Linked DNA regions of Astyanax mexicanus. The protein of the gene in region 1 interacts with the protein of each later gene in a pairwise test. Links are inferred from orthologs where the notes say so. Each region holds a gene or a part of one and is shown in the gene's direction. Other genes may lie near its edges.

What was found.
Region 2: the proteins of tfip11 (region 1) and poll interact in binary tests that used the Homo sapiens proteins (3 or more experiments, as listed by UniProt). The two-hybrid records come from large-scale screens. The link is inferred for Astyanax mexicanus from reciprocal best matches to the Homo sapiens genes TFIP11 and POLL.
Region 3: the proteins of tfip11 (region 1) and snw1 interact in binary tests that used the Homo sapiens proteins (3 or more experiments, as listed by UniProt). The link is inferred for Astyanax mexicanus from reciprocal best matches to the Homo sapiens genes TFIP11 and SNW1.

The regions. Positions count from the first base shown.
Region 1 is NC_064420.1:33,028,102-33,038,425, reverse strand, and holds the start of tfip11 (tuftelin-interacting protein 11), read left to right. Parts: upstream 1-5,542; 5' UTR 5,543-5,632; intron 5,633-6,849; 5' UTR 6,850-6,853; coding exon 6,854-7,062; intron 7,063-7,817; coding exon 7,818-7,983; intron 7,984-8,527; coding exon 8,528-8,684; intron 8,685-8,767; coding exon 8,768-8,895; intron 8,896-9,047; coding exon 9,048-9,203; intron 9,204-9,929; coding exon 9,930-10,121; intron 10,122-10,225; coding exon 10,226-10,324. Other genes in the region: naca (nascent polypeptide-associated complex subunit alpha), read right to left, coding at 1-366, 2,982-3,051. UniProt on the Homo sapiens protein: Involved in pre-mRNA splicing, specifically in spliceosome disassembly during late-stage splicing events. Intron turnover seems to proceed through reactions in two lariat-intron associated complexes termed Intron Large (IL) and Intron Small (IS).
Region 2 is NC_064428.1:27,908,900-27,918,828, reverse strand, and holds the start of poll (DNA polymerase lambda), read left to right. Parts: upstream 1-5,479; 5' UTR 5,480-5,565; intron 5,566-6,824; 5' UTR 6,825-6,856; coding exon 6,857-6,965; intron 6,966-7,133; coding exon 7,134-7,431; intron 7,432-7,727; coding exon 7,728-7,845; intron 7,846-8,018; coding exon 8,019-8,339; intron 8,340-8,838; coding exon 8,839-9,012; intron 9,013-9,929. Other genes in the region: protein DPCD, read right to left, coding at 1,119-1,221, 3,242-3,375, 3,514-3,635, 4,208-4,288, 4,527-4,638.
Region 3 is NC_064408.1:54,939,949-54,950,507, reverse strand, and holds the start of snw1 (SNW domain-containing protein 1), read left to right. Parts: upstream 1-6,109; 5' UTR 6,110-6,249; coding exon 6,250-6,263; intron 6,264-6,905; coding exon 6,906-7,059; intron 7,060-7,177; coding exon 7,178-7,339; intron 7,340-7,418; coding exon 7,419-7,514; intron 7,515-7,786; coding exon 7,787-7,893; intron 7,894-7,985; coding exon 7,986-8,090; intron 8,091-8,255; coding exon 8,256-8,325; intron 8,326-8,415; coding exon 8,416-8,481; intron 8,482-8,578; coding exon 8,579-8,695; intron 8,696-9,640; coding exon 9,641-9,782; intron 9,783-10,559. UniProt on the Homo sapiens protein: Involved in pre-mRNA splicing as component of the spliceosome. As a component of the minor spliceosome, involved in the splicing of U12-type introns in pre-mRNAs.

The DNA.
Region 1 (10,324 bases):
TCACAGGCTGTTCATCAGTAGTAACTTCTGGTACTTGGGCTGTAGGTTCCACCAGAGCTTCTTTCACGTCTTCAACAAGATCTTCTTGACTTTTAACAAGAGCGTCTTGGGCAGGTGCTTCTGGTTCTTCAGAGTCTTCACTAGCAGTAACAAGCTTAGTTTCATCCTGTTCCTCAGTAGCAAAGGTTGGCGCTTCACTATTGGACTGAATGTTTTCTACTTTAGGTGCTGGTTCTTCCACAGATTGTGCTACAACCTCAGCCTTTGTGATAGAGGCCTCAGGAACAGCACTCTCCACTGGAGTAGGCTTGGGAAATTCTGGAACTGCTGCCTCAGAACAGGCAGGCGTGTTTACCACCCCAGGAGCTAAGAGGGTGGAGAGGATCGAGGAAAGTAGAAAGTATAAGAAAGGAGGAAGGGCAGTCACAGTGAAAGGGTCAACAGCAGCTTAAGAAATCTCTCCAAGATATTCTGTTGCATATTTTTTATTATTTATTAGACCTCACCAATTTACACCTGGTCACAGCATGTTCCTTGAGTATAGTGCTGGGTGGTATGAACAAAAATGCTTATCAGGGTATTTTGCAAGATTCTGATGGTTTCACAGTATATGACTAATTTTTTTTATTACTTATAGTTTCATGACTGGGCTTAAAATAAAGTACAGAAGTACTTTGATTACTATTGGGTTTACTTTGTCTCAAAATTACAGAATATATTAAGAAATCAGACTTTATTAAAATAACAGCTGAAGAGTTTAAACAACAGACTTTAAAAAGAGAACAACTAACACATCTTTTACCAAACTAAATATCTTAAATAGTTCCATAACCTATAAATGAACCTAAAATACTCAATGTAAGTATATAGGAGATATTTCTCAAAAGCTCTATTGCACAAGTAAAACACAAGTTTATCAATTTACAGTGTGTTATTATTGAAGCCATCAGAGACATTACAGTATTTAAGGAGCTGTTTATTAGTTTATCATAATTCCCCTAGTTCTCCAGTTGACAAATGAATTAAGTCCGGTGTGCATTAATATTATCCTTTAAGCTACAGTATTAATTAATGTATTTAAACACAGCTTTAGTTACTCATATTGCAAGAAATAACAGCAGAGGCTGCAGGAGTTCTAATCTCATGTTTCTTTAGGCAAACCAGCGTGAGACTGAGCTGAGGTTACTGTGCTTCTTCTACATATATAAACAGAGCTCCGGAGCACCTCTAGTGGTAAAGAGAAAATGGTATGAGAAAAAAAAAAAAACATACTGTTTCAAAATCTCTCTCCGGTGTACCATACGAACCAGTATACCGCCCAGCATTACTTGAGTATCAGGATTATAGCCACATAAGGTCAGACTAAGTGTAAACACAATTCTGGTGGCTAAAATCTTACAGGATACAATCCAGATACTAGTCTGATGAAGTGACCAGTTGTACACAGAATCTTATATATGCAACAGAAAGTGATTAATGTTTTCTATCCACAGAAAACACATTTAACAAAACTATATGTATATTTATTTACACGCTTACAATGGCTTGTCAGTGAAACATTAGTTGGTGCCCATATACCACTCAAAAAATGTGTGTGGAGGAAGGTGAAGTTTGCCAACAGTGCCCAACATGTCCAACTTCTACCATGCAGTGCCCACAGTTAAGAATGGTGAAAGTCCAACACCTGCTAGTACCATATGTGATGCTACAAGAAAGGTCTTTAAGACAAGAAGTCAACCAAAACAGCTTTATAAAAAGAACAAGTAACATGTTGCTCCTAAAAGTACATTTTACCACATTTAAGTACTGCTGAAATGACCTCTAGCTTGGGTAACCACACAGCATTTTTTTTATTAAACAGATCTCTCGTCAGTGGCTATTCATCAACCATTCCCTTTCTAAAGCAGATGCAATATGCAGTCAAAGTTGTAGGGTTTGAGTCGAGAATCCAACAGAATTACTTGTACAAGGTTTGTTTTCAGGGAGAAAAGAGAAAAAAATAAAACAAAAAAAGGTTACATAAAAAAGGATGAACTGAACTAAACCAATACTGAAGCTATCAATGTAGCTATAAAACTTGACTATTCTCCCTTTCAGTATGACTAAATTATTTCACACTGTGCTCCTTAAAAAAAGGGATATGGTTTTTGTAGGTATACCGACTACACAATACATAAAACAAATGATCTACCCAAAAGAACACTCAAGATTTTAAAGTTTTAACACAGCTTCAGTAAAACACTCACTATTAAGTGTGTAAAAACCCTAAAATCAAGAACAAGCTACGTACAATGTAAAAGAAGAAAATCAATGAGTAGCTTCCAAACAAAATATTTTTTTAAGTAGTCTCAGACAGAGATGAAGCCTATCTTAGACCACAGAGTATTCTGAATGGAGATTCTCCATCAAAAGAAAAAAATATTCTATGACCAGGGTCAACCAGGAGTCCGGCCTTAGTGTGTAGGGGTTAGAAACTGACATTCCATAGAACAATGATTCATGCACAGTTGACTTATCCAAATCCCATGCACAAAAACAACAGTGAACACGTGCTTTAAAACACTACCACAATGCCTCGTGGTCATAAAAACAACAGGCATCGCAGGCAACTATTTTGCTTTCTGGAAAAGGAGGTCTTGGATGAACTCAATTTAAAAATAATCCCTTTCAGTCTAAATTTGACAAGGTTTGGTCGGCCATCTTAACCCAACCAAACTTGCATTCTCCGTTCAACAAAACCCGACACCACCCCCCACCCACCAGTCAAACCTGCTGCACAAATAATGTCCACAACAGCTGGTGACAAGGAGTTAAAAAAGACCAAGTGTCAGACATAGTTAGTTGTAAATACCTTAAGAGGAAAAGCTTTAACTTACTGCCATCAGGATTTTTTTTAAATCAATCAATCTACAGCAAATGAGCTCCAAGACCCCTAAACACAGAGGTTAGTCTACAATCTACTATAAATGAGCACTACATACCCGTCTCCACCTGGGGCTGCTGCATCTCCTGCTCTGTCACTGGGACAGTTTCTGTGGCTTCGCCTGGCATTGTTGTCTACAAAAAAAATAAAAATACATAAATAAAGAGCAAACTTTTTCAACTTTACTCACACAATCAGTAAACAAGAGTTTAATTAAGTTAAAATCAGTTAAATGATTAAAAAGTTACAAATTTCTTTAACACAAGCTGTACTAAACTGAACCAATGGTTAACAAATAGTGCAGGGTTTGGGGGAAATAAATTATATCTTTAAGACCAATATTATGCAAATCGATATATCGATATAATCGAATATATGTCTTGAGTTGACCATCAAGTGTTGTCATATTATAAGCAAATTTTCAAAGATCAGACACTCAAGTAATTCAACTAAATACATGTGGGAAAAGAACAGCATTAGGTGTGATCCTTGCCCATTTTTGCTGAATCATTATTTTAACAAGCCAATTCTCAAAAGCTCTAGTGGTTTACGTATTTATTTGTATATTGACATAACCTCGTAATATATTTGCTGACCTTAGTATTGCCCCCTGCGTTTACTTAGCTAGCAGGAAGAACCCATTAATGTGAAAGAGTTTTACATTAATGATGTTTAATATATTTAGGATATGTAAACAAACATTAAGAATAGAAGTCCGGTGCTCTGTAGAATGTAATGTGTAATGCTTCATTATGGTTAAATCAGTAGCATTACACATGGCTTGGAATAACTATTGCAGTTTTAGCAGTATTTTCTGGGACTACAGCTGTTATATTGTCCAAAACATTGGTGAGAGGCCTACTAAAAACCAGAGTAGATGTGTTAACCCAAAAGAGCATATGATGAAGTAGCTGTGTCACAAACCATTTAAAAGATGTGTAAATCTCCCTACAGCATTCTGTCATTTTAACCAAGTGTAGTTGCTAAGTGACTGAACTTTGTAATTAAGTTCATTACAGGACAGTGTGTGTGTGTGTGTGTGAATCTGACCTTATTTGGGTTATGTGCTGAAGATAAAACTAGCTCTTTTTAAAAGTAGATTTTTAGCTTGCAGCTGTTACACCATTTAAGTTAACAATTTAAAATGCTTTAACTCGACGTTTTAGAATATATACAGCTCTAGAAAAAAAAAAGAGACCACTTAAAAAAGTTTTTTTGGATTTTACCAAATTGTAAATCTCTGGAATATAATAGAGAGTAAGAAATAATCACAAGCCATCAAACGAAGTTGAACTGCTTTAAATTGTGCACCAGGAGTGGCATACATTTATCCAAAAGCAGTGTGTAAGACTGGTGAAGGAGAACATACATGAAAACGGATATTGAAAACCAGGGTTATTTCACCAAATATAGATTCCTGAACTCTTAACTTTATGAAAATGAACTTGTTTTCTTTGCATTATTTGAGGTCTGGGAGCTCTGCATATTTTTTTTTGTTATTTCAGCCATTTCTCATTTTCTGCTATTTTTACCAGAGCCGTATAGTTGGCTAACTTGTTCTAACACAAACTCTAGAAACTGTTAGGATACAGGTTATGAAATTGTTTAATCATTTGTGTTTTCAGGATTTTAACCTTAAAATATTTGAAGTCATGTGCTCATAGTGACAACATAATCGAATGAGCTACTCACATGATTTTTTCTGAATATATTTCTGAATTCAATAATTAGAAGTGGGTCTGAGCTCTTGAGGGTTAAAAAGTAAATGTAACAACGTTGGTAAGTTAGCTAATTAAAACATGACTAACTAGTTACCTAAGGTCAGTCCAAACTACGAACTATCTAGTTAGCTAAGCTAGCTAACGATCTAGTAGCTACCCTATGTATTAAAGTGCTTGGGGAAAGGGCTTTAAGTCATGTTTAGCTAACTATTTTGGCCTTTTAAATAACGTTGGGCTACTCAGGCTAATCTAGCTAACGTACTAAAGGAACTATAGAGCGTTAGGTACTGTAAAAAACGAAATACTACACATACATTTCCATGTGCCAACGTGACTAGCTAGCTTAGCTATCTAAAATGTTCTCCATGAACATGCTAGCAAGACCTGAAGCGCTGCTACCTATCTAGTTAGCTAACCGCTAGCTCTCCAGTTCACAGGCAGCCCAGACCTTAGTGTTCATTAGCTAGCTGGCTGGCCAACCTTACGAACCGGCTCTCTCACTCACTAAACACTCTAAAGAATTTTAGCTTCACTAAAAATCATTAAGAAAAGCCTATATACATATATAACTAACTATATTACTAAAAAACACAACTGTCATGTTCCAGCCCAGCCAGACAGAAGGCGCTGCCTCAGCTCCCCCATTTTGAAGAGTCTGCCGGCAGCATTGAACCACAATATCTAATATTTGGAGACGCGAAACGGGCCAATACTCAGCCCTTATCCGAGAAGAGCTTTTACCCAACGATTCTAGCCGGTTCTGGCAAAGCAAGCAAGCGTAGAAAGCTCGGATGCCACAAGATTGAAAGAAGGAACACTTACTAGGTCTGGGCTCGGGGTCCAAGATGGCTGTGAGAGAGGGTTTCTGACCTCTGCGTCACTGTGACATACACACCGCGCTTCCTGTACAGAGACAGGCCGACAGGAAGGAGCTGCGCAGTTTATAGCTGAAGATTAGCGCTGTCTGCTTAGCGCTATACACAGACAGGTGAGTGCTGCTGCTGCTGGTGCTCGTTTTCCTGATTTAAATTAAATTATTTAACCTAACGGTCTCTGTTGGTGGATGGGTAATACACAAACAGTAGGCCTAGCTAGCGAGATTAGCTAGCATTCGCTAACTTTGGGCTAACGTTACTATAACGCTGTTGTTGTGGGTTAGCTAGCTGGCTAACCAAGCTAATGTGAAGCTAGCTAGCTCATTTAGCTAACCTGGGTCCACACACCGAATTAGATACTATTTAGACGTATTAACGGGTTGCCGTAAGGATTAACGACCTCTAGGGTGAATAACAGCTGTGTAAATATAAATAAGCTAGTTAGTTAGCTAGCTATCTCTTTTATAAACAAAAAGCCTCCCCTTCAGTCTAGCTAGGTTAGCTAGTTAGCTTAGCTAGTTTAGCTAACTAGTTAGTAAATAAGCTGAGTGGTTCTAACATAATATCCCAGTAACTCTTGTGCTGCAGTTGTGCCTTACTCAAAAATAGGTAGGTTTAACCTCTTTCATGTAGTTTTCGTTTGTTAATTTAGTAGCTAATTGTTTCTATTAGTCAGTAGCTAGCTAGCCTGCTAATGGAATGTGTCCAAATGTTTAACTAACAGATGAATTAAATGGGTACAGAGTACCAATCAAACGCTTGGACTTCTCATTGAATGTGTTTTCTTTTCTTTTTATGTTATTTTTTTTACATTGTAAATTTCATATTAAAGACAGTAAGTCTGTACAGGAACAGCAACATGTGCAATTATTTTGTCAACAAAAAGTGTTAAACAAGCAATACTTGCTGAAAGAAATTATAAAGAAAAACATTAAATGAGAGTGTGTCCAAACTTTTGGCTTGTGCTTTCTGACTGCCACTTTCAGCAACTATTGTGCTGCTGTTGTGCCCTAGTGAGAAACACAGAAACTAGCTTGTGATGAAGTTCATCTATTGATTGTGCAAATTTTGTCTGTTAGTGTGTAGCTAGCTAATGATATGTGTTTTTCTCTGATTAACTGTAGAGACGTATCTAGCTGGTGGTTTAGCAGATTATCTATATGAGTGGGAGATATGTCATAAACGTAAAAACACAAAAAAATATCAAAATAAAAGACGTTTTAGTTAATGTTCTATAATATCTATGGTATGCTCAGAAAAAAAACAGTACTGTCACATTGCCCAGTCGACTGAATGCCATTCATTGTATGTGCTATTTTAATTCCTGCAGAATAATGTCTATGTCCCATCTGTATGGGCGTAGAGGAGGAGAGGAAGAGGAGGATGGGGTCGAGATTGAGAAGTTTGAGGTGTCTGAATGGGACTTGGCCAATGAGTTTAATCCAGATAGACGTCGGCACAGACAGACCAAAGAGGAGGCTACTTACGGAATATGGGCTGAACATGATTCTGATGATGAAAGACCCAGCTTTGGAGGCAAGAGGTACCCAAACATTACTTTAATTTCTAAAATTAATTTATGGTTAGAGGTTGTTTTTTTTCTGATACCACACTCAGGAAAACACTTATTGGTTTGCTAATACATAATGTTTGCTATAAACAGTGTGAAAAATGTGAAGATTTACATAGCAAATCTGTCATCACCCTCTCTAAATGTAAAATGTGAACATTTATGCTCAGAGGGCTTGATATGACCAAAATTTATATTGTGATATGTCATGTTTTGGTCAATGAGATATAAAACCTTTAATAGATTTTAACAGTATACAAGTCACCACCTGGGGTGTATTTAATCATGCACAGATTGAGCTGGGCAATATGGTAAAAGTATTTTATCTCAATATAACACAATACAGATATTTTCCTGACACAATATTTATCACAATGTTTTAAACCTCTTCTGCTGCACATCATCCAATTAAACAGGATATTTACACCCCTTGTAATTAAATGTAAAGTTGGGTCAGAGTACTTTAAACCCTGATGATCCTTAATATATTTATTATGATGATGTTAATATGGTAGGAATATTTATTACCTTCAGTTTAGACCCATTCTATTCTTTCATTGAATATATAATTTACCAATTCCCTATTTCCAGAACCACCACTTTTAACCTTTCTATAAGCAATAACTGAAGTCAGTTACTAACTAAAACAATTAGCATTAGGATGGTTTGCTTCTGTTTTTGCCACTGAGAAGATTCTAATTTTGCTCCATATGTGAAAAACTGTGTAGATCGAAGGACTACTCAGCCCCTGTGAACTTTATAAGTGCTGGCCTGAGGAAGACTGCAGCTGAAGAGAAACAACAACAGCAGCAGGGCTCTGATGATTCAGACGAGAATGAAGAAGCAGCAGCACCACCACCACCCCGTGCTACTGCACCCAAAAAGCTTCAGACGGTAGTGCAAAATACTTACATTTGTAATGCTGTTTTTTTGCCATTTCATTTTGCTTTGTGGGTATTCTAGCATTCACAGCTAATTTCACTGAATATAATCTGGCAATTTGGGTCTAATGTCTCATTTACGATCATGCTTTTTTGTAAGATACATATTTCAACACAATTGGGTATACATACGTTGCCCATGATATCGCAAGACAATTCTCTATGATATTTCAAAGCATCTGGATTACTAAAGAAGATTTAAAATTTATTTAAAAAAAAAAAAGGTAAAGACCAGAAATGATTGGATGATTTGGATTATAGATTTATTGGTGTCAGTTTCCCAGATTTTGACAACCATTATTTTTTAACCTGTTTATTTGATTAGTGCCACCACGTGGAGTAATGAAGCAGTAACCTTATTAAGTCAAATTTGGGGGGTTTACAATGTCTATGTTTCAGGAAAAATATTGATATTTAATGCCTTGTGCCAATATTATTTAGCTTTTCTAAGACTTATAGATTTCATTGTAACTATTCATTTGGTTTACATCCTCCAGGGTGGGAACTTTAAGACTTCCCATAAGACATTTGCTGGAAATATCCGACCAGGGCAGGATATCGGAAGCTGGGAGAAGCATACAAGAGGCATCGGTCAGAAGCTTCTGCAGAAGATGGGCTACGTCCCGGGCAAAGGCCTTGGAAAAAACGCACAGGGTAGAGTATCTTTGTCTGTGAAGGCTAATTCTGGGTTTTATTCAGATATGTTTATGTGTTCTGATGAGTGAATGTCTTTACAGGTATTGTAAACCCAATTGAGGCTAAAGTGCGAAAGGGCAAAGGAGCAGTGGGGGCTTATGGGAATGAGAGGACCCAGCAGTCCCTGCAAGATTTCCCTGTGGTAGACTCTGAAGAGGAAGAAGAGAATGTGAGTCAAAGATGCAAAATGACACACATTTGACCTCATGAATGAGGAAAAAAAAATTTCTTTTCTTTTAGATCCCAAATTAACCTTCAAGGTAACTTTTTGGGACCAGACACATTTGATAAACTAATCATTTGCTCTCTATATTTCTACAGGAATTTCAAAGGGAGTTGGGTCAGTGGCGTAGAGATCCAGTATCAGGGAAGAAAAAGCCCAAATATTCCTACAAAACTGTGGATGAGCTTAAGGCTCATGGGAAACTCACCAGTAAGAGCATGAGCAAACCTGCTGGAGAACTTGCCCAGGTCAAGGTGAGGCTATACTAACCTGTTGGCAGTTTTAAACAACATTAAAGTGCCAGATTATCTTTTAATCTTCATAAATCTTTGTCGTAACCTGTATACCCAGGCTGTGTCCAAAATGCTTTTTAACAAATTATTTCTATTGTCAGCCTATAATACCACCATACATATTTCTCTATTGTACATTATAAGCGTACCAATTTCAGAGCAATATTATCCAATAATTTGTATGTTTTGCTCCTGGGTTTCCTCTATATTTAAGAAATATAACCCATATTTTATCTACATTCATTGTTATATTATTAATTAACCTATTCACGACCCCTAAAGTTGAAGTCTTTTTGTATGATTTGATCATTTGATGGAGCATATCTGTATAGTGTTTTTTGTTAATATTATAATACTAGTATAATATTCCTTTGTGTCTTGAAGTTTAAGGAATGCATAAGTTTTTTCTTAAGCACCTGTCTGTCTGTCTGAAGGTGACAGATATGACTGGAAGGGAGCAGAAGGAATTTAGAGCGCCTATGATTCAATAAAAATATTAATATTTTATGCAATGTATCGATATGATATACGCGAAATGATGCGATTTATCAATGTTTTGTTCCACCCCTAACATGGTGTAGGTTATTTACACCATAGATTTAAAAGACAAAAGTTAAATTTTTCTGAGACATATTGATGACTTTGTAACTTTTCTTGTGGTCTGTCTGTATGTCTGTCAATCTGAAGGTGATAGATATGACTGGTAGGGAGCAGAAGGTGTACTACAGCTACAGTCAGATGAGTCAGAAGCACAGCGTTCCTGAGGAGGCTCCGCTGAGTGTGGTTGCGCGAGAGCAGAAGAGCACCACTTTTGCTCTGCCAGAGCTTGAACACAACCTCAAACTGCTGATTGAACTCACAGAGCAGGACATCCTCCAGGTACGTGTGTCACATTTTCCAGAATAAGTAGGAAACGAACACTGTCAGTACTGGCCTAGTCTGATTCCTTCTTCTGTTGTTTGTGTGTGTCTCCATTTGATTAGAGTGCTCGACGTCTGCAGCATGAGAAGGACACAGTGGTGTCTTTGACGCATGAAAGCACCGCTCTGCAGGCCAGGCTGAGTGAGGAGGCAGAGGCTGTG
Region 2 (9,929 bases), on another chromosome or scaffold:
CAGCAGCTCTAGCCACAGTTAGCTGCGTTTAGTTAGTAAATGCCGCTCTACAGCGCTACACTGAGGAACTCTAAGTGTTCTGGTAACCCAGGGTGCTACCAGCTAGCGTTCATCCCACGTAGCTTGTTTTAACACAGTAAACACGCAGACTAGAGTCTAATACACTTGCCACTAAACACAAAAGCGCTAGTGCTGCGCCCAATGCTAATACTGCTCCAGCCTCGATGCTGGAGAAACTTCACTGAAACTCCTGTATAACACTGTTCTTCAGCGGAGTGGCACACTGTCGATTTTAGGACAATTAAAGGAATTAAAGTACACCTTATATCGCGAAAAATACGGTAATACATATACATTGTCAAAATGTATGTGTTGCACTCAGAATGAAGCAAAAATTTATGTGTGGAGGCACCAAGCTCAACACTTCACATGTCCAGAAGGCCTGGTGTCGTGTGGTGTGTGGTGTGCAATTTTGTATGATGCCAAAAAAAAACTGTTCTTCCCTGCTTTGACAGCCAAATGTAAAGTTAATAATGTCTTGCAACCAACTATATCTATCCCACTATTTTAACAGGACAATGCTCATCCACATGCTGCTGCTATGTTTAGTCACAGACACTTTTAGCTGCATTCCCAGACCTATTCCTGATTAAAATGTGTGAGATGCTGTGATAAGATGTACTATCAACAACTCTAACACTCCCTAAAAAAACCCTAGTGAAAAATCTGCATGAGAATATATATTATATATTGCATGTCATGGATTATCATGAGACACCATTACGTCTCATGCATTACACACTACTTCTATATGTGTTGCTCAATAAATATAACCAGGAGTTGTCCAGTCATTCACCCGAAATATTTAATCATTTACTGTTCCTGGTTGCCTTCATCTTCCTTCTGAATATCATTACACTCCGCCACTTCCTTCTGGGTGCAACTATTTTTGCAACTATCGGCGGTGAGTGTATAATCATTTAACCAAACGGAAACTGTTCCGCATAATCTGATCTGGTCTTAGGCCAGTTTGTCAACAGCAGAGCAGGACAGATCTACATTGAAAGCAGTAACGGTGATTAAGTGAGCAGCCCCTAAGGTAAGGGCCTTTAACTTACACTGATGATTAAAGTGTTGTTAGCATGGCTGAAGCTCAAGGCTGCGCTCTCCAGAGGCAGCTGACAGCGGTCGAGGTCTGGAATACTGAACTTCTTATAGTACCTGGGAAATGAAGGGAAGAATAAAGCAGAAAAGGCCTTATTCACCACCCACTTAAAGGAGAAGACCTTTATAAAATCTACTTCAGGTTTTGTAAAACATGATAACATGTACGGACTTTCATTAAATAGCCCACTTTTATTCTTCCCAAGCATTCCAAAATACAGTGCTTTTAGCCGATGCTCCCAACAGACTTACAATGACTTACATGCAAAGAAATGTCTATTTTTACACCATTAACAAGCTCAAAGTAGCTCCATACTTCACAGGTAGACACCCTGACGTTTAAAACGAGGCACTGAGAACTTTGAAAGCATGATCACAAATAAATAAGACGGATAGGGGAACAGATTGCAAAATTAATTCAGTAGAAATGCATGAATTCCAGCTGTTGCTTAATTTCAAAGTTCTTAGGGCCAATGCCTTAGAACTCCATTAATAAAGGGTGCTTTGAGCTTGTTGTTAATGGTGTAAAAATAGCAATTTATTTATAGGCGCTATGCCCCCATCACTAGCATTGTAAGCCTGTTGGAAGCATCGGCTTAAATCGCTGTATTTCAGAATGTGAAGGGTAAACAGAGGTGGGCTATTCAACAAAAGTTTGTACTCACCATCATGTTTCACTACACCCCAAGTTCATTTCACACCTGATTTCTCCTTTAATAACACTTTTCTCATGCACACTCAGAGATTCACCAATAGGGCTGTCATGATATATATGTTACTGTCCTTATCTTACAGTATAACAGTATATAGAAGTGCATTGCTTTATAAAAGGCTGTTAATGCATTATATTATTGTATTATCCTTATATCTGGGCCATAAAATAGTTTTAAAATAATAGCAAAAATGTTGTTTACTAAAACAACAAAATTAAAACAACTAAAATTTCTTTTAGTTTCCAATTACTTATAAAACAATAGGTCATCAAAAAAAATATTTAGTGTGATAGCATTCCTAAGATTTTTTTTATTTGGGATTTGGTCAAATTATGAGAACAATGGGATCCTTGTAACCAGATTATAAGATCAGATCTAGGAACAATTCTGCAGTTTAAAAACTAAGAAAAATAAGAATGTTCTTAGTACAGTGGGGCCATATTTATCAAACATCTCAGAGTAAGAATGCAGATCCAGGATCAATTAAAGTTAAAGACTTCTATTAGACAGCTGATGAGAGGTGATCTTAGATCAGTACTTTTACCTTAACATGCTTAATTAATGAGCCTACTTGATTATTGGTTTGTTTAAACCAATAGGGGGGAGCCCTTAAACCTTATCTTGAGCCAACAGTGCCACCTACAGGAAGACACTTAGCAGAAGGGAGTGTAGAATGAACAATACTAATAATAAGGTCGGTGTTTAATAGAGTAGAATTTGACAACAAAGGCCATGTGGGGTCTGTATGGGTGGCCCAACTGGGACTACACAGTCTGTCTATGGGTTCCATGCTGGCTCCAAATATGTATGCTCATCAGGGTCAGTGATGGAACCAGGAGGGGTCTAAAAGTTGGCCCCAGAGCCCCATGCGTTGCCAGTGTTCAATAGACAAGAATGACCAGTGAGAAATCTGAACGTTTAGCTTAAAGGATCCATCCCATTTTATTATTAAATTATATGACTCTCTGATAAATCTTTCTTTGTGAAAATTGATGAGATACATTATATGAACAAAAGTGTTGGGACACCTGTTCATTTTTTTGTTTCTTCCTAAATTAAGGGTATTAAAAATGACTTTATCCTGCTTTAACTGGAGAAACTGTCTCTACTCTCCTTTGAAAAGGGAGGACTGCTGTGAGGATTTGAGTGCATTTAGTGACAAAAGCAAGAGTTTCTGAGGTGAGGATGCTGGATTGATGGTCACCACCTCAGCTTATCATCCCCAACTATCATCTTCCACTGATCCACAGCTCAGTGCTGGTTAAGCTTTATACCCCTCTAACCTTTAAAAGCCATAGGACAATTATTAGAAGGGGTGTCCACAAACATTTAAACACCTAGTATTATCATCTGACTGGAGTTACTTTTTGTTCGTGGTCCGGATGATGCAGCATCGTTCAGCAGGCTCCACTGAAACACTATAAGTGTCTACGGGGTACGGGATGTTGCGAACTCTCCACTGGAAACTGGCCTTCGTGTCTTTACGTATAAACAAAGGCTGCAGAGAACAAAACAAAGCAACATTAAAACTTTTTAATCATACACTGAATCATGAACCCTTCAAAAATATCTTTTAAAAAAAGCATACGCATAATTTTGCATGACGAGTCACATTAAAACAGGAAGACAAACCTACATTAGAGCTACTTTCTTTGATTTCTGTGTCTGTGGAGGGAACAGCACTGGGGTTTCTTTCACCGACTTCTACTTGCCACTGTCCTGCTCCACCCAGTTTGGTTTTAGAGCGCAACTGTCGCACTGAGAAAGAGAAAACATTAAGAAATACGTTGTCACAGGAAATACAGTGGGTAACTTTGATGGGGAGTTCATTAGAGCATGTACAAATGGTTATATTCAAACTTTATTTTAATTTTGTACACAATATATTAATACAATATAGTACACACGTATAGTATTTTTGTGTGTATGTATTTTTTCTCTACAATTTTGTGAAATAAATGCTTAAAATATATCACTCTGTATGTATTGCATCTATACAATATATGATGTATATAATATTATATAATATATAGCTATATTTTTACATTTTATTGTTTGTTTACAGTTGGTTAAAAGCTAAAATGTAAAGCAAAATACCTTAATTTTTATACAGTTATACCTTGGTGTCTAGTCTCTCTCTAAGTTTCAAATGTGTATAATGGCATTGGTATCAGCAGATATATACATATGTCATATTGGATATCAGCATTAGCCAGGAATTCACTAATCAGTGCATCCCTAGTTTTTTTCTTTGCTTTATCCTGTCCTCCAGGACCAGGATTGAGAAGTAATGTATTACAGCATTTTGTGAGCATGCATGTTTCACTTACAGATAAGTTCATCTGTTCTCATGTCGTATTCTTCAGCCATCTCACTGCCGTCTGTAAACAGGTAGTGTACTTTCCTTTTTCCTGTATAAAATACAGCATTTAATTGATTTAAGTAGAAACACCGCAGGTCTGATTGGTGGATGATGCAGCTGTGAAGCTCTAGAACTTTGTCAGCGTTAAACTCACACATCCACACATCAACACACACCGCCTCTAACTGACTCACACACACCTTATTACACACTAAACATTTATTATAGAAGATCAGAGCGAGAGCAAAGCCCTGTTTACTCAAAAAAGAGCAGCGCACGCGCCCTACCATCAGAAATTAGCGCTGTTTTCTTAGCAGACCTCAGCACCTCCGACCAGCTCTGCACCGCCATGATGGAAAACACATAGTAGTCAACTTCCGGGACGCTGAACGTTCCCATGGAAACGGAGAAGACTACCGGAACAAAAAAAAACATTTTAAGATTTTTTAATATATTTTTAGAACGTTTTATATACACGTATATTAAATGTTGTATTTATTATTAATATAATATAATATTAATCAATATTCAATTAACAAATTTTTCGCTTTTGCTTTTTGTACAGTTTTAATTACGAAATATTCAAAAATACATATAAAGCGATTACACATTAAAACTAATAAAAAGGCCAATAACTAAATAAATAAGGTTAAAAATGCAGTTAAATACAAATAATATTTGTATTTTTAAATAACAGTTTTTTTGCCGTTTTAATAATGAAGTTTTCAAATATACATAAAAATCACAGCGAACTCAAAATAAAATAAAAATAATAACTACACACATAGAAAATAGAGAATATACAATAAATACATATTAATTAATTAATAATTATAAAAATATATAATTGTAATTATAATAATTAAAATGTAATTATATTAATTAATAATTATATTAAATATATTAATATTGTTATTATTTTCAATAATAATAATATATACATACTAAATATTACTTATTCTATTTTAAGCAAAAGTAAAAAATAATATCAATACATAGCGCTTTTTTAATACTAAACATTTTTATATGAAGTACTGTAGAGCATTGCGTTGCGTTTTTGGGGTAAATTGTCAGTAGACTTAAGGCTAAAAACGTACATTTTAAATCCATCTTACCTTTTTCTTTAAAAATGTGGAGTCACACAAATTAGGAAAAGTTCAAAATTTCATTATTTATTATATAAAATGTGGCTTAAAGGGCAAATATATATTTTTGCTGCAACAACTTTTTTTTTAAACTGAAACCTGCGAATCTGATTGGTCTACTGGAGACCGAGCCCCGGATGTGACCGTTTTAAAGGGCTGGCTGGCTGGCTGGTGTTGACGGGTGAGTTGTGTTATTGCTTTTTTTTGCAGTTTAACTGTAGTTTCTGCTGTTTTACTGCATATTTGTAGTGAAAAAGTAAAGAAAATGTGGCAGGTAGGAAATGGGAGGTGTGGCACGGTCAGTTTTTAGAAGCAGCCAGGGTAATAGCTGTTGTAAAGTGAAGCTAGCCTTGTTGCTAACCTATGTTGTAAACACGGGCTGGGTCCCAAATCACACACTGCTAAACTAGCTACTTTACTAAGTGACGAAATGAATGAACTTTCACTTGTGGGGCATTTATTTTGGATTTTGGGACGCAGCCCCACATTTAGCTCCACTGAAAGCTAATTAACATGACTTGTATTATCTTTGTAGTTACATGTATTAGTGTTAGCTAACTAGCTACTGCTAAACCAGTGAATGCTCCTGTTGTTTCTAAACTATGGAGCTTAAAAGCTGACATATATTAGAATCTGCATTTTGTATACTTGAATTAAAAGCTAATGTTCTGAACTTGAGAATTTAAGAAATTAGCTGTTTTTCAGATTTACCTCTGGCCAAAATCTGTGTTTCTGATTTTTAAATCAAACTGATGTTATCATATGTACAATGAAAATCCTAAGTTTTGTGTTTTTTAAACTTAAAAAATGTTGCTGTTAATAAAAGCAAAAAAAAAATCAGATAACTTACATAGATTCAATTCAGTTTGGTTTAAAAGTCAGAAATACAGATTTGAGCCAAAGCTAAATGTGAAAAATATTTTTTTTGCTTTTACTAACAGCAACGTTTTTCAAGTTAAAAACACAAGAAAGCATTATCCAAATCCAACCCTATAAAATATTTCAAGCTCTTATAAAAGTATTGTAAAGCCTTTTGTAAAAGTGGAACAGAGTACTATCAAACTGTGTGTAAAGTTGCAATAATACAACTGTATAAAAGTGAAACATATTACTTTTGGACTGTGTAAACTCATTCAAATGTTTAATTTAATTTAATTCAAAATACAATATGCAGGTTTAATATTAGATGACATTAAGGAGTTAAATTAATACTAATTTTGCACTGTTACTAATATTGATCCGTCTACTACTACGGATGCACAGATGTGGTAATTCTGGGCCCATGCTGGTATCCAATATTACACATGTAGCTATATATTTTCATAGCTAGCACCAAACATACATCAAAGTGCTTTTACATAATCTGAAAATTGTTTTTTTTTATCATCAATATATTTCATGTGTTTTTCATACTGAAATGTTCTCGTCTCTGTGTTTTAGGTAGGGCTTCCCTTTTGGGAACTCTGCTCGAAATGGAAAAGCATGGTATTCTCAAAGCTTTTCCCAAAGTGAAAAGGCACCGTCCAGCTGAAAGCAAAGAGGCACCTCCAGCCAAGAAGACACCAGTTCAAACAGTGACTGGTAAGACTGTAATCTGTTCTGTTTTGTCTAAACTACCAAGTAACCCTAAGATGCTATAGAAGAAATCTCTCAACAGGAGCATTATTAAAGTCATCATGATGTTGGATGATTACTACCTCATCTCATCCCCAACTCTAAAGTGCATCCCTGTCTGTTTTTCTCTTTCAGGAAATGTGTTCCAGGGTGTCTCCATCCACATAATCCCCACTGGTATCGGAAAGGCTCGATGTGACCTATTCCACCAACAGATCGTTCAGAATGGGGGCAAAGTTGAGCCTATCTTCAGTTCCAGCTGCACCCATGTGGTTGTAGATGAGTCTGTGGACAAAGAGCGGGCCTTGAGGCTGCTGAAGACTGAAACGCTGCCATCTGCTGTGGAGCTGGTGAAGTGCAGATGGCTCAGTTCTTGCATCTCAGAGAAAAGGCTTGTGAGCACCGAAGAGTACAGTCTTCTTACATCTAAAAGGTATTGCTGAGTTAGTGATATATTTTACATATACACTGACATAAACTGTTCTGTTAAGTCCCATGATTTTTGCCATGTCCCATGGAAGCTGAAAATGCTGAACTAAAAAATATGATTTATCTTACAGCCCTAGTATGCATTAGCATATTTTATACACCTCAGAGAGAGGGAAGGGGGAAAAACAAAAATAAATATATAAATACAAAATATTTGGTTATGACATGAAAGTCAAAACCTCCTGTAATGTTTAATAGGATGTAGATCTACCTAAAAATCTTTTGTGTCTTTCTTTGTAGTCCTCAGCATGTTTCTATTGAAGAGCCAAAGAAGAGTCCGCTGGGTGCCACTTCTGTTTCTGAGGAAACGGCACCACAGGCTGATCCTAAAATAACCCAAGATGACCCTGAAGAGACGGTAAACAGGAGGAAACTGCCTCCATCTGCAGAGTCCATCAGTTGTTTGTGTTTATTTGCCTTTTTGGTTTATCAAGTGTCACAAACAGAAAGATAAAACTTGATCCTAGACTGGAATTCCTGCTGACATGTTTGAGATATATAATCCACATTCTTTTACTTGGTGTCCCACAGGTCCCGGACACTCAGAACGAACATCTTGAGGAAGATGGTGTGTCACAGGACGACTTGGAGGCTTTGATTAGTGGAGTTAAGTCTAGCGCGGGTGCCCCAGATGAAGCCCAGAATGTGTTGGAAAAACCTGCTTTGCCAGGGAAGTGGGTTTGTGCCCAGTCGTCCAAAATCAAGGGCGAGAACCACAACAAGCACATCACCGACAAGCTGGAGCAGTTGACCAAAGCTTACACCCACACAGGGGACAAGTGGAGAGCCCTGAGCTACTCGAAAGCTGTTAATGCCCTTAAGAGCTACCACAAGCCTATTACTTCATATCAGGTCAGTCTGACTTCATTGGAAGCTAAGAATTCTGTCATGCAACAAGGACTACTAATCTGTCCCATGACTTTTGCCATATGCCATGGAAGCTAAAAGACACTTCCCTAACCTGCGGTATATCCAGTGGGGCCCCCTGCATTGATTGTGAATCTGATTTTTGTATACACAGAAATTGTAGCCAGATGCTGCCACCTGCTGCACTGTCCACTGTGGATGATAACCTGGCACTGTGGAGCAGCACAGCTTTGAATATTTTCCCATATTGGGACCCAATATCAAACTTCTTTTTAAAAAATTAAGTTCTAAAACAAGTATGCTCAAGGATGATAACTTGGCAAAATGATTGTTTAATATTTAGTACAATGTATTTTGTTGTGTAATTAAATTTTCTGTCTTAAACCAAGATGATTTGAATATTGAGGTGTCGATCACTGAAAACATTTTTCCATGTTACTTCAATAAATAAATAAAGACTACCTTTTTTCTGTGATGCCTGCAGGAAGCAAATCAGATCCCAGGGATTGGCAAAGCAATGGCAAGTAAGATTGAAGAGATCATGGACAGCGGACACCTGAGGAAGCTAGACAATTTTGGGGAGTCTGTGTCTGTCCTGGAGCTGTTCACCAACATCTGGGGCGCTGGTGCAAAGACCGCCCAGCTTTGGTATCAACAAGTGAGATACTCATATATTAATACAATGACATTATTAAGACAGAGCAACAGTAGATATATTAGCCTACGTGGCAAAACTTTCAACTTGTCTTCTTTTGGCGGGAAACTGACAAATTTGCATTGAAACATGGGATTATAAATTCAAAATGAGGGCAGCTGAGTTTAACAGCCATCCATCAAAATTACTGAAGAACAAACTCTTTTGTGGGCATTGATATGTAGCCAGACATCACTTAGGTATTAATTCTACACGCCAGGTTGTAAGGTGCAGTAAAGCCACTTCACTGAAGTACAGAGTTATAAAGGAATTTTAGTTTAGTTCTCTATAACTGAGGCTGGAGCAGCCTTAACATTAAGCGCTGCTAACCGTGGCTAGTGCTGCTGCTAACCGCACTGTTGAAAATATTGGAAAGCTAAGCTTACTGTAAATAGACAAAAGCGCTTTACTTACCCAAATAAATCATTTTCAGAAGAGAAATCTGTGTAGATTATCTACATGCCGATATCCTTGTTCCTTACTATTGTCACTTAAAATGCACCTTTTAATCTGGTTAAAAAGGCGCAGACAGAAAATAGACATTCATTAATAGTCCAGCATAATCTAATAATTTGTGATAGAATGACACTAGTTTTAGACATTAAAGTATATCTAAGGGGGCTTTCACAACTACCTTGTTTTGGCCTGGACTTTTAAACATATATGCTATATAACAAATATACCAAAATATATGGTGTGATAGGTGCTGTAAACCAAAATTTTGTCTGACCAAAAGTGGTGATCTTGGTTAGGATGAACTGAATCATATTTCAGGCTAATTTCATACATTAAGCAATAGAAGAAGAAAAATAATCTCTGTTATGGCATTTTTTTCTTTTTAGAATTTGACTTTTGATGTTTGCGCTTATCACACACCAGTT
Region 3 (10,559 bases), on another chromosome or scaffold:
CTGTCTATGTGTTAGTCATATCTCTGTTTTTGTTCATCTAGCACATGGCTCTGTTTTTTGTTTTGTTTCTTTCTTGTCTCTGCCCTATTGATTAATGTTCCCATCTGTGTTTCATTTGTTACCAGCCACTCTCTTCCCCATGTGTTCCTTTTCTGTCCTTGTTTCTTGCAATCTTTGTCAGGTGTGTTTACGTCCAGCCTCCTTGCCATCTGTGAATAGTTTCCTAAACAAAATATTTGTTCAAGTTGGAGACATATGGTTTGTTTATGGTAGATTTGTTTAACTTTTTGAAATATATAATATTGTGCTAATATTGCAGTCATTTAAAACAAAATCAGCACCTGTCGGAAATTACAAACAGTCAAAAGAAATGACCATTTAAATGGAATTTGTTTCAAATTTTCTATTGTTATATGATGTGAGCATTATGATTATGTTACGGTGTTACATGTCTTCTGGCTACAATTTTTTTTCTTATTGTAATGATTAAACTACATCTGTTTAGCCCTATTTATTGTGTCAGCCATTTTGTATTGCTCTTTAAAATCTCAGCATTACATTTTATTCCCTATATACTTCACTATCAAACACCCATAATACATCACTAAATGTAATGTACAGACAATGTACGCTACAATATGCAATATATACCATAGTGCAGTATGGTGGTGTTGTGTCAGAGTGACATAATCAAAGATATATAATGAGTAGTGAATGAGTTCATGAGAAAAACATTCTGACCAGAGCTTAGGTTAGCACGGAGACCTGGAACTCTAGACATGTTCTTTTAATAGACAAGCCACAGTTTAACTCATATCAGAGTTAATGCAAATTAGACAAAAAAACATTTAAACCCCCTGATAATAAGGTGTGCCTTCTAGGATCTCTTTTTTATAATACTCAGAATATTACTATAAGTTTACAAGAACCTTCATATTTTATTTAAAATAATGTATAAACATTAAGATTTGATTAACCATTTTTTAGACTGTTCTGTAATTTATAAACACAGTTTTTCAAACATTTGCCTCATATATCTGCCTCTCTTCAAAATATTAATAAATAACAAGAATTCACACTTATAAAATAGGGAATAATGTTTAAAAATTACCTTGATGATGTGGATAAACAGTACAATTTAGAAACAAACAGTAAAAACATGACTGTTCAACCTTTATTCATAAATCCATGTCTACTTTTCTGTCTGAATTTACAGTTATCCAGGTATCCAAATAAAGAGTGTGCATGTTTGCTGCCACCAAGCTGTATCATAGACAGTTGTTTTTATTGTTCATCGTAATGCAGTATAAATGCTATTACATTTTAAAACTTATAAAATTGAATATGCAACAGATTTAGCACTAAATCATAAATATGAAGGATATGGGGCCTCACCCCAGCCGCCTGGGATCCGCCGTCCTCTCTGGAAACATTGAGGCGGTGCTATGCCGGGACTGACTGGCTCTAACCAGTCATACCGGCCAGGTTAGTGGTCTAAGTAATGGGCAGTTTAGTAATATACATTCTTCTGATGATTTATCTTGCCACTTTCCTGTTCATAAGGCCGTGAGTTACAATTATGTGCCTTTTTCTGATACAAGTGCATTTTTACTGTGTAGGATTGAGACTGTGTCCCATGTGTCGCTCGAAATCGAAAAAGTCAGAAAATCTGTTTTAATAATCTTATTAAAATTAAAACAACAGCATCCGTCTCTCAGAGTACCAGCAGCGTCCGTATTAAACTAGGGCTATTAAATATAAGATCGCTAGCACCAAAATCAGTAATTGTTAATGATATTATTACTGATAATCACCTTACTGCACTATGTCTGTGTGCACTATGTCTATGTTTACCCCCCCAGGTTTTAGCTATTTTAGTTACCCACGCAGCTCTGGTCGTGGCGGTGGTGTTGCCACAATTTATAACTCAATGTTAGGTATAACTCAAAACTCAGAATTGGATGCTAAGTCGTTTGAAGTTCTTAGTCTTAAAGTATCAGGCCCATCTCCTGCTTCCAAAACACAGCATTTGTTCCTGCTAATAACACTGTATCGTCCTCTTCAAATTTTATCCGTGAATTTGATGACTTTCTAGCAGCAGTAACTCTTCTTTCTGATAAGGTCGTAATTGTTGGAGACTTTAATATCCACTTTGAAAAGGATCAGGATCCACTAAAATTGCATTTAAATCAGTTTTAGATGCTCTAGGTTTCAAACAAAATGTAATTGGCCCCACTCACCGATGTAGTCATTCATTAGACTTAGTTTTGACACTGGGTATCGAGGCTGAGAATACAGTTACTCTTTCTCAACATGACTCGATATCCGATCATTATTTAATTATGTTTGAAATAGTTTTTAATCAAAATATCCTCCTCCCACCCCGCTATATCAGCAAGCGTAAAATAACAACCTCAATTGCTAGTGATTTTGTAAATAAACCCCCTGACTTAACTATCTCCCTTCCGTCCCATGAACATGATCTCGAGCACATAACAGAAAACTTACAAACTGTGCTCCGCTCTAACCTGGATCATGTAGAGCCAACAAAAATAAACAAATTAGGGATTTTTCCAGCTCGCATGGCAGCATAGTCTCACAGACTACAAAAAAGCCCTAATTAAAACAAAATCCCAGTATATCTCAGCGCTTATTGAGAAAAACAGAGACAACCCTAGATTTCTTTTCACTACTGTGGCTAAACTTACCGGCAGTCAAAAACAAACTAGCTCCGTTACCCCAGCCAACATTAATAGTAATGATTTCATGAAGTTCTTTGATGATAAAATTAATAACATTAGACAAAAAATTCAGTATTACTCCCAAAATGTACCTATAGATATTAATGAATGCTGCTCCAGCTCTGAGGCACACCTAGAGTATTTCAGCCTGGTTACAGAAAAATATTTACTTAGTGTAATTAACTCATCAAAAGCGTGCATATTAGATCCAGTACCCTCACAGATACTTAAACAGGCACTGCCAAAGGTGGGCATTACTAGAAATAGTAAATTCATCTCTTAGCATGGGCTACGTACCCAATTCTCTAAAATTGGCGGTCATTAAGCCCATTATCAAAAAACCAAATCTGGACCCCAGTGAGCTTGCTAATTATAGACCAAATTCTATCTTCCTTTTGTAGCCAAAATCCTAGAAAAAATTGTGAAACAGCTTTACTTAGAGTAACTAATGATTTACTTTCAGCTCTTGATAGGGGCAGTACTGCTATACTTGTACTGCTAGATCTTAGTGATGCTTTTGACACCATAGATCACGCTATTCTGCTTGATAGGTTAGAAAATCTTATAGGAATTAAAGGATCTGCCCTTACCTGGTTCAGATCTTATCTGAGAGATCGATTCCAGTGTGTTTATTTAAATAAAGAATGCTCTTATCAGTCTAGAGTAAAATATGGTGTCCCTCAGGGATCAATACTGTGTCCATTACTCTTTACATGTTACCGCTGGGTAAAAACATCAGTAGGCAGTATACTCTCTCTGGAAGATGCTGAGAAGCTGAAGCATGCATTCATAACCTCGAGGCTGGACTACTGAAACACGCACTGTTGGCTGGAAGTCCACATAAATTACTTCATAAACTCCAGCTAGTTCAGAATGCAGCCGCGAGAGTGCTTACTAGAACCAGAAAGGTTGATCATATTACCTATTCTTTCATCCCTACACTGGCTACCTGTTAAATTTCGTATAGATTATAAAATACTCCTCCTGACGTATAAATCCCTCAATGGTCTGGCCCCGCATTATTTGCAGGAACTTCTTACTCCTTACAATCCGCCGCGTTCACTCCGCTCCCAAGGCGCTGGCCTGTTATTAGTCCCGCGCATTAGAAAAAACTATCCAGGAGGAAGAGCTTTTTTTTATAAAGCTCCCCAACTTTGGAATAGCCTCCCTATTAATATACGGGACTCAGACACACTCTCAATCTTTAAATCTAGACTCAAAACATTTCTATTTGCTCAAGCTTTTGAGTAATGTCTCATTACAATTTTCTTCCTCTTACAGCTTATCCAGCAAATATAAACCCTGTCCTAATCATCTGCTTTCTCTTTCTCTCCCCATGTCCTGAGCTGCTGAGTTTTAAAAACCATTCTAACCCCTTTTTCTTCCCTCCCCTCTCTGTTCTCTCTCTCTATCTCTCTCACATGTGCTGAGATGCCCGGCCGGTCTGCCTGGATGTGTCCGTTTGTGGTTCCAGTTTTCCAGAATCAGCCATGTCCTTCTACTCATCAGAATTATTACACAACCCTTCTAACTCCTGATTTTTTCTCTTTCTTTCCTTTCTGTTTTCTATTTCTTTTAAATGTATGGAGATGCCCTGTTCCTGTTGTTCCCATCCTGGCTCTCCACTGCCCGCTGTGTTCTACTCCGGCTCTGCAGCCCTGCACTGATTAACATTAACACACTCAGTATCTGTTTCTGTATTGGCCATAGCTCTATAATTTGTGCTTATCACATTTTTATATTCATAAATTAGTACCTTTTATTTTAGCTAAAGTTCACATTAATTCTCTGTACTGTTGTTTTGTTCTGTTATTTGTTTGTACTGAGCAGGTCAACCCGAGTAGGATGGGTTCCTCTGACTGAGTCTTGGGCTGTATTCGGAATGGCATACTACTATACTGCATACTGCATACTGCACTAGTATGTACTGCATACTGCACACTGCCCAGTACGTAGTATTCAGTACTGCAACACTTTTGATTGGAGTACCCTACACCAGGGGTGTCCAAACTTTTTGCTGGGGGCCAGAAGGAGAAATATATTTGAAGTCAAGGGCCACACTCTGTAATAAAACAAATAATGAAATATACCACTTTAAATAATACTTTTTTCCTGATTATTTCATTTACACACCATTTTACTTGGCTTACTATCTTTATCTTTGACAGTGTTGTGTAAACTAAGATTTTTCAAATTGATGTTTAATTTCATGATGTCTCCTAATGTTAAACTCCTTAATTACGGCAACTTTTAGACTCATTGGCCTCGTTTTTCTGCGCTAGAAATGCGCACTCTCTCCACTTTTAGACTCTTTGCCCCGTTTTTCTGCGCTAGAAATGCGCACTCTCTCCGCTTTTAGACTCTTTGGCCCGTTTTTCTGCGCTAGAAATGCGCACTCTCTCTAAAATTCTAAAATATATAAAATGTTATATACAGTGCAATTGGCACTGTATCCAAAATATAATTTGTCTTGCAGGAAGCCAGAAGAACGCTTTAAATACCAAATGAAAATGGCTCTTAAAAGGTGTAAAATCAAACCTGGAGATCTGGAAGATATGGCTGCTGATCGCAACACCTGGTGGCAGCTGTGCCTAGTTGGAACCCAAACACTGGAGGAGGAATAGACAGCCAGAAGACAACAAAGAAGACAACAAAGAGTGCTCTGGAGAGACACACCAATGGTTGGCAGCCAAACAAACACTATGCAATAGAATCTGTGGATCCATGTTGGACTGTTCAGAAAACTCACCGCTAGAAGACAGAGATGGACGTCATCCTCGGATTCGATGGACAACCACAAGCAAAGTGTTTGCTTCCACCCAGCTGTCATACACAGTTTCTGAAATGCTATTGAATTCGTGAACATATAAAATATAATATATGAGGGAGTTGTAAGCATTTTGCATAATGTTAATGGGTGTGCAGTTTTCCCCATGATTTAAAGTGAACATTCCCGTTATTTTGATGTGTATAAATCCTAAAGGATATGAAGCTATTGGTGTGTTTTTTTTCTTAAAGCCATTTATTCTTATATGAGAACATTGGCATGTTTAGGCACTGAAGTGATTTGGAGGTAAATGAATGAGTGTTTACAGATGCAGAGGTGGTCTAGAACTACATGCATATTATCTCAGTTTTCGGTATTAACGCTAAAAGGCGTTGCGCACATTTTCCCGAAACAGTAAAATGAATGATGTGCGTCTGTCTCAGTGGTCCTACTGCCCTGATTATGTAAGTATCATCTGGATCAGATGGATCTCACCCTCCGTTTAAAATTTATTAGCGCCGAAAAATGAAACTAACTTTACCGAGATAGCAGATGCTGATGTTATAGCGCCCCCTGGGTGAGAGACTCGCCTCTGGAGAGATTGCGTGGTGTTGGTGTGGACTTTTATTTTGACGTGTTTTAATAACGCGAGACTTTAGCAGGGAGCTGGAGCTCGGGGGAGAAAGGTCTGCGCTGAGAGTCTCCAGTCTTGAGCTGAAGCTTTTCACAAAGAGAGAAAACATGTCTCTGGCCAGGTGAGTCACTCTGGAGCCGGTTAGCTTTGTTACCCTGTTGTTAGCACTGTCGGCGGGTTACTCACAGAACTGTGTCTGTGGGGGTGTTCTGGTTCTCTACTGCAATCCGTTTTTGGCTGAAAGGCCTAAGTTAGTTGTTATTTTATCCGCTAGCTTTAGCCAGTTAGCTACAGGGCTAACTAGCTTAGCAAGCTAACGCTAACGCACTTTCTTCCCCGGTCATGAACCCACGGGTAGATTAAGCTGTAATCAAGGCTGTCGTTTGTTTATTAGCTATAGTTAAAATGTAGATATCAGATTAGAACTGTGTACAGAAACATAACAGTTACTGCACGCTAGGCTAGCTAAAGCTAGTCTTACTGTAGATATCCGTCCAGCCAAAACGGTGTTCAGCGATCTGTCTGTCTCTCTGTCTGTCTGTCTGTCTGTCTGTCTGTCTCTCTCGGGATAAACTGACAAAACACTCAATGTAAGTGTAAAATATATATTACATTACACTTACATTGAGTGTTTTGTCAGTTTATGCCAGTTATACCAGCACACAGTCATGTTTTACCATAAGTGTACTCAGTTGAACATTATTGGACTGTTAATAGATAGATTGGTATTGTATTTTTAATGTAGATATGCTTTGTTTTACAGTTTTTTACCCGCGCCCACTCAGCTGTCCCAGGACCAGCTTGAGTCAGAAGAGAGGACCAGAGCTCAGAGGTCCCAGTCCACATCTCTGATGCTCACTCGAAGAGAACCACCTCCCTATGGTTCTCGAAAAGGATGGGTTCCCCGCAGTATTGAGGTGTGTCTGTGTTTATCTGCTTGTAACATATTAAATTAAATGAGTTCAAATAGTTTGTGATGTAGTACTTTTCATTTTGTACTATAAAAACATATTAAAATTACCATTTATTTTAAAGGATTTTGGAGATGGTGGTGCATTCCCTGAGATCCACGTGGCTCAGTATCCACTGGAGATGGGCAGAAAAAAGAAGACATCCAATGCCCTTGCTGTACAGGTGGATGCTGAGGGCAAAATAAAGTATGATGCAATTGCTCGACAAAGCCAAGGAAAGGATAAGGTACATCTTATGTTAGAACAGTTTAGAATTGTTTATCATATTATAAAATGTATGCTCACACCTTGTGTAATTTCAACAGGTTATATTCAGTAAATACACAGATTTGCTTCCTAAAGAAGTGCTCAATGATGATGCCCCAGAGTTACAGAGACCAGATGAAGAGGCCATTAAAGAGGTGAGATATGTTAGTGGTTGTTTGTAAGCATTTACAGGTTGTCAGTGGATAATAATGCAGTAATAATTGATTATAATGAATTTTGGTTTGGTTTTTGGTTTTAATTAAAAATAATGTTCTTGAATTTTAATTGGGGGATGACTGTAATTTCCTTGTTAGTACTTTTGCTGTAATGTTGTTAAACCTTATTTTTCAGTAAGATTTTAAGGTTTTGAAATTTATTTCTTTAATGAAAATGTAACATATATTCAAATGTATTTCTTTTATTTCAGCTTACAGAGAAGACCAGAGCTGCTTTGGACAAGCAGGTTTCCCAGAAAATTGCTGCAGCAATGCCTGTACGTGCAGCAGATAAACAGGCACCAGCACAGTACATACGGTAATATTCAAACCTCACAAGTATGTTTTACTGTGGTGTCAATTGTGTGGTTCAACCTAGATATTCTGTAACTTATTATTTCTTTGCAACAGGTACACACCTTCTCAGCAGGGAGTAGCATTCAACTCGGGGGCCAAGCAAAGGGTCATCCGTATGGTGGAGATGCAAAAAGATCCAATGGAACCCCCACGTTTTAAGTACGTCACAGGACCCACAGTGGTGAACTATGTTACTGTGTACATTTTAAATGTAAAAAGTTATGGGCTAGTGTATAGTACCAGTAAGTAATTTCTAACTACTTGCTAACTGAATAAAGATCAGGAATAGTATGTAAGGTGTCTTGCATATGTCTGTTTGAATAGAATTAATAAGAAAATTCCTCGTGGACCTCCCTCTCCTCCTGCTCCAGTTATGCACTCTCCCAGTAGAAAGGTGAGTACCATAATTTAATCAGCATCATATTTGCTCATTACATGGGATACATTTTTAAATTTTTATTAATTAACTTTCTTATTGTCTCAGATGACGGTGAAAGAACAACAGGAGTGGAAGATTCCTCCATGCATTTCCAACTGGAAGAACGCAAAGGTTTCAGCAGATTTTTGTTGTCTGCCTTTACAATTATCTACCTTTAACTCTGTTGTCTTTCTGAATGGCAAAATAAATGTTCATTATTGTTTTTCAGGGTTACACAATCCCACTGGATAAACGTCTTGCTGCTGATGGAAGAGGTCTTCAGACAGTTCATATTAATGAGAACTTTGCAAAGTTAGCTGAAGCTCTCTACATTGCAGATAGAAAGGTAATCTATCTATATTTGTCAAAAAAAAATACAGGTGGACAATAAGGACTAAGTGATGAACAATTGTTGTTGATTTTGGGGATTATGACTCACATACTTTCTATACTGTAATAGTTTAATAGGAGGAATGATGCCGTTTCTTTTTTCTTTTCTTTTTTATCAGTACCGTTTTTTGCTCACTTTAAGGCGCACTGTATTATGAGGCACATTAATTAGCGTTTATTTTCTTACACAAGGCACACCAGATTATAAGGTACATTTTAAAAGACACTATAAGGAACTTCTACTTCAGCAGGTCTCGCAGCTGGGTGGTGGTGGGTTGTAGCTAATTAAGTTAAGCTAAGGATACAAAACTTTATAAAAAAAAAAAAAGTAAAGAGCTTTTGTTCATTTACAGTAAGCTTAGTTACTGAGATAATACACACCTCGAGACAGGGAAATGGAGGTTAGCAACTAATGCTAATGCTACTCAAGCCCCAGTGCAGGAGAACTAAACTGAACTTCTGAATAACACTGTAATTTGGCTGAGTGGCTCCTTACAGCCTGACTGGTAAAATTCATATGTACTAGATTAAAAAGCGCACTGTCAATTTTTTGAAAAGTTAAAGGATTTTAAGTGCGCCTAATAGTGCGATAAATATAGTATTATTCCAACTTTGTAAAAACAGTTAAGACCCTCTTCTGTTTTTACATCACTGTTCCTCTAGTGCACAAAGAAATCTCAACATTGTCCAAAATCTTTAGGTAGCTTACTCCCTATTATTTCCTGTGAATTGAAATAAAATATAATACAAACTGAGACTGTAGATATCAATACTTTTGCCCATTTAGAGCATTCGTTTGACTCCAATGAAAGAACATTCTTTTTAGTGCTTAGGAAAGTTTGATGATCCAAAGTGTCAGTCTTCATTCTTTTCATGCTTTCATTCCTTATTATGCTTTCAGGCCAGAGAAGCAGTGGAGATGCGCGCCCAGGTGGAAAAGAAGATGGCACAGAAGGAAAAAGAAAAGAAGGAGGAGAAGCTTAGGGAGCTTGCGAAGATGGCGCGAGACAGAAGAGCAGGGATCAAAGGCCATGGAGAAAAAGGTATTGTGGTGTTTATCAATAATTGGTGCTTGGGTCAAATACGCTAATTTCGTAAACACGAATGTCTTGATAAAAATGAGCTTTCGTTGCTATCTTTAAATTGACCTTTTTTTTTTACCAGGGCTTATCAAACTTTTTTGCCCTACTGTTAATGACTAAAAGCATAACAGCCCACATGTCACCTTTTTATGTAAAATGTTGCAAATTTGTTTAGTTTAGTTTAAAACTTGCTAAACTACAGCTGTGGCTTTAAGGTGAGCAGAAAACCACTTCACTTTTTAAAATGCATGTTGTTGAACTAATTGTTGCATAAACAAGACAGGAACAAAACTTGCTTTCTTTTTTTTCTTGTTTTGTTAAAACTACATAAAGTTGTAATTAGCATTTACCTAGTACTTAGCTTGCTAGCATTTTCCAGGTTTTCTGTTCCACCTTAAGTGAGGCAGCCGTTACGTTGGAGTGAATCCAATATTTGTTTCCATTCTGGATCTGTATGTTTTTACTAAATAAAATCATTTTGAATGTTAAGAGAAAGCGTCTAGCAACTAATTTTATCTGTAAACTTTTTTTTTTTGTTTTTTTTTTTTTAAAGCAACATTGCTTGTATTGTGATCCATACAGTTGTTTGTTGCTATGTACAACAGGGCTGTATCTGATTTGATTCAGTCAGTTCAGATGCACCAGTTTGATGGGAACATTGGACTATTTGTTAATGTATTTTACTTTATATAAGTAACTAGCAATCATTTAATTTAATTTAATGACCAATTAAGAAAG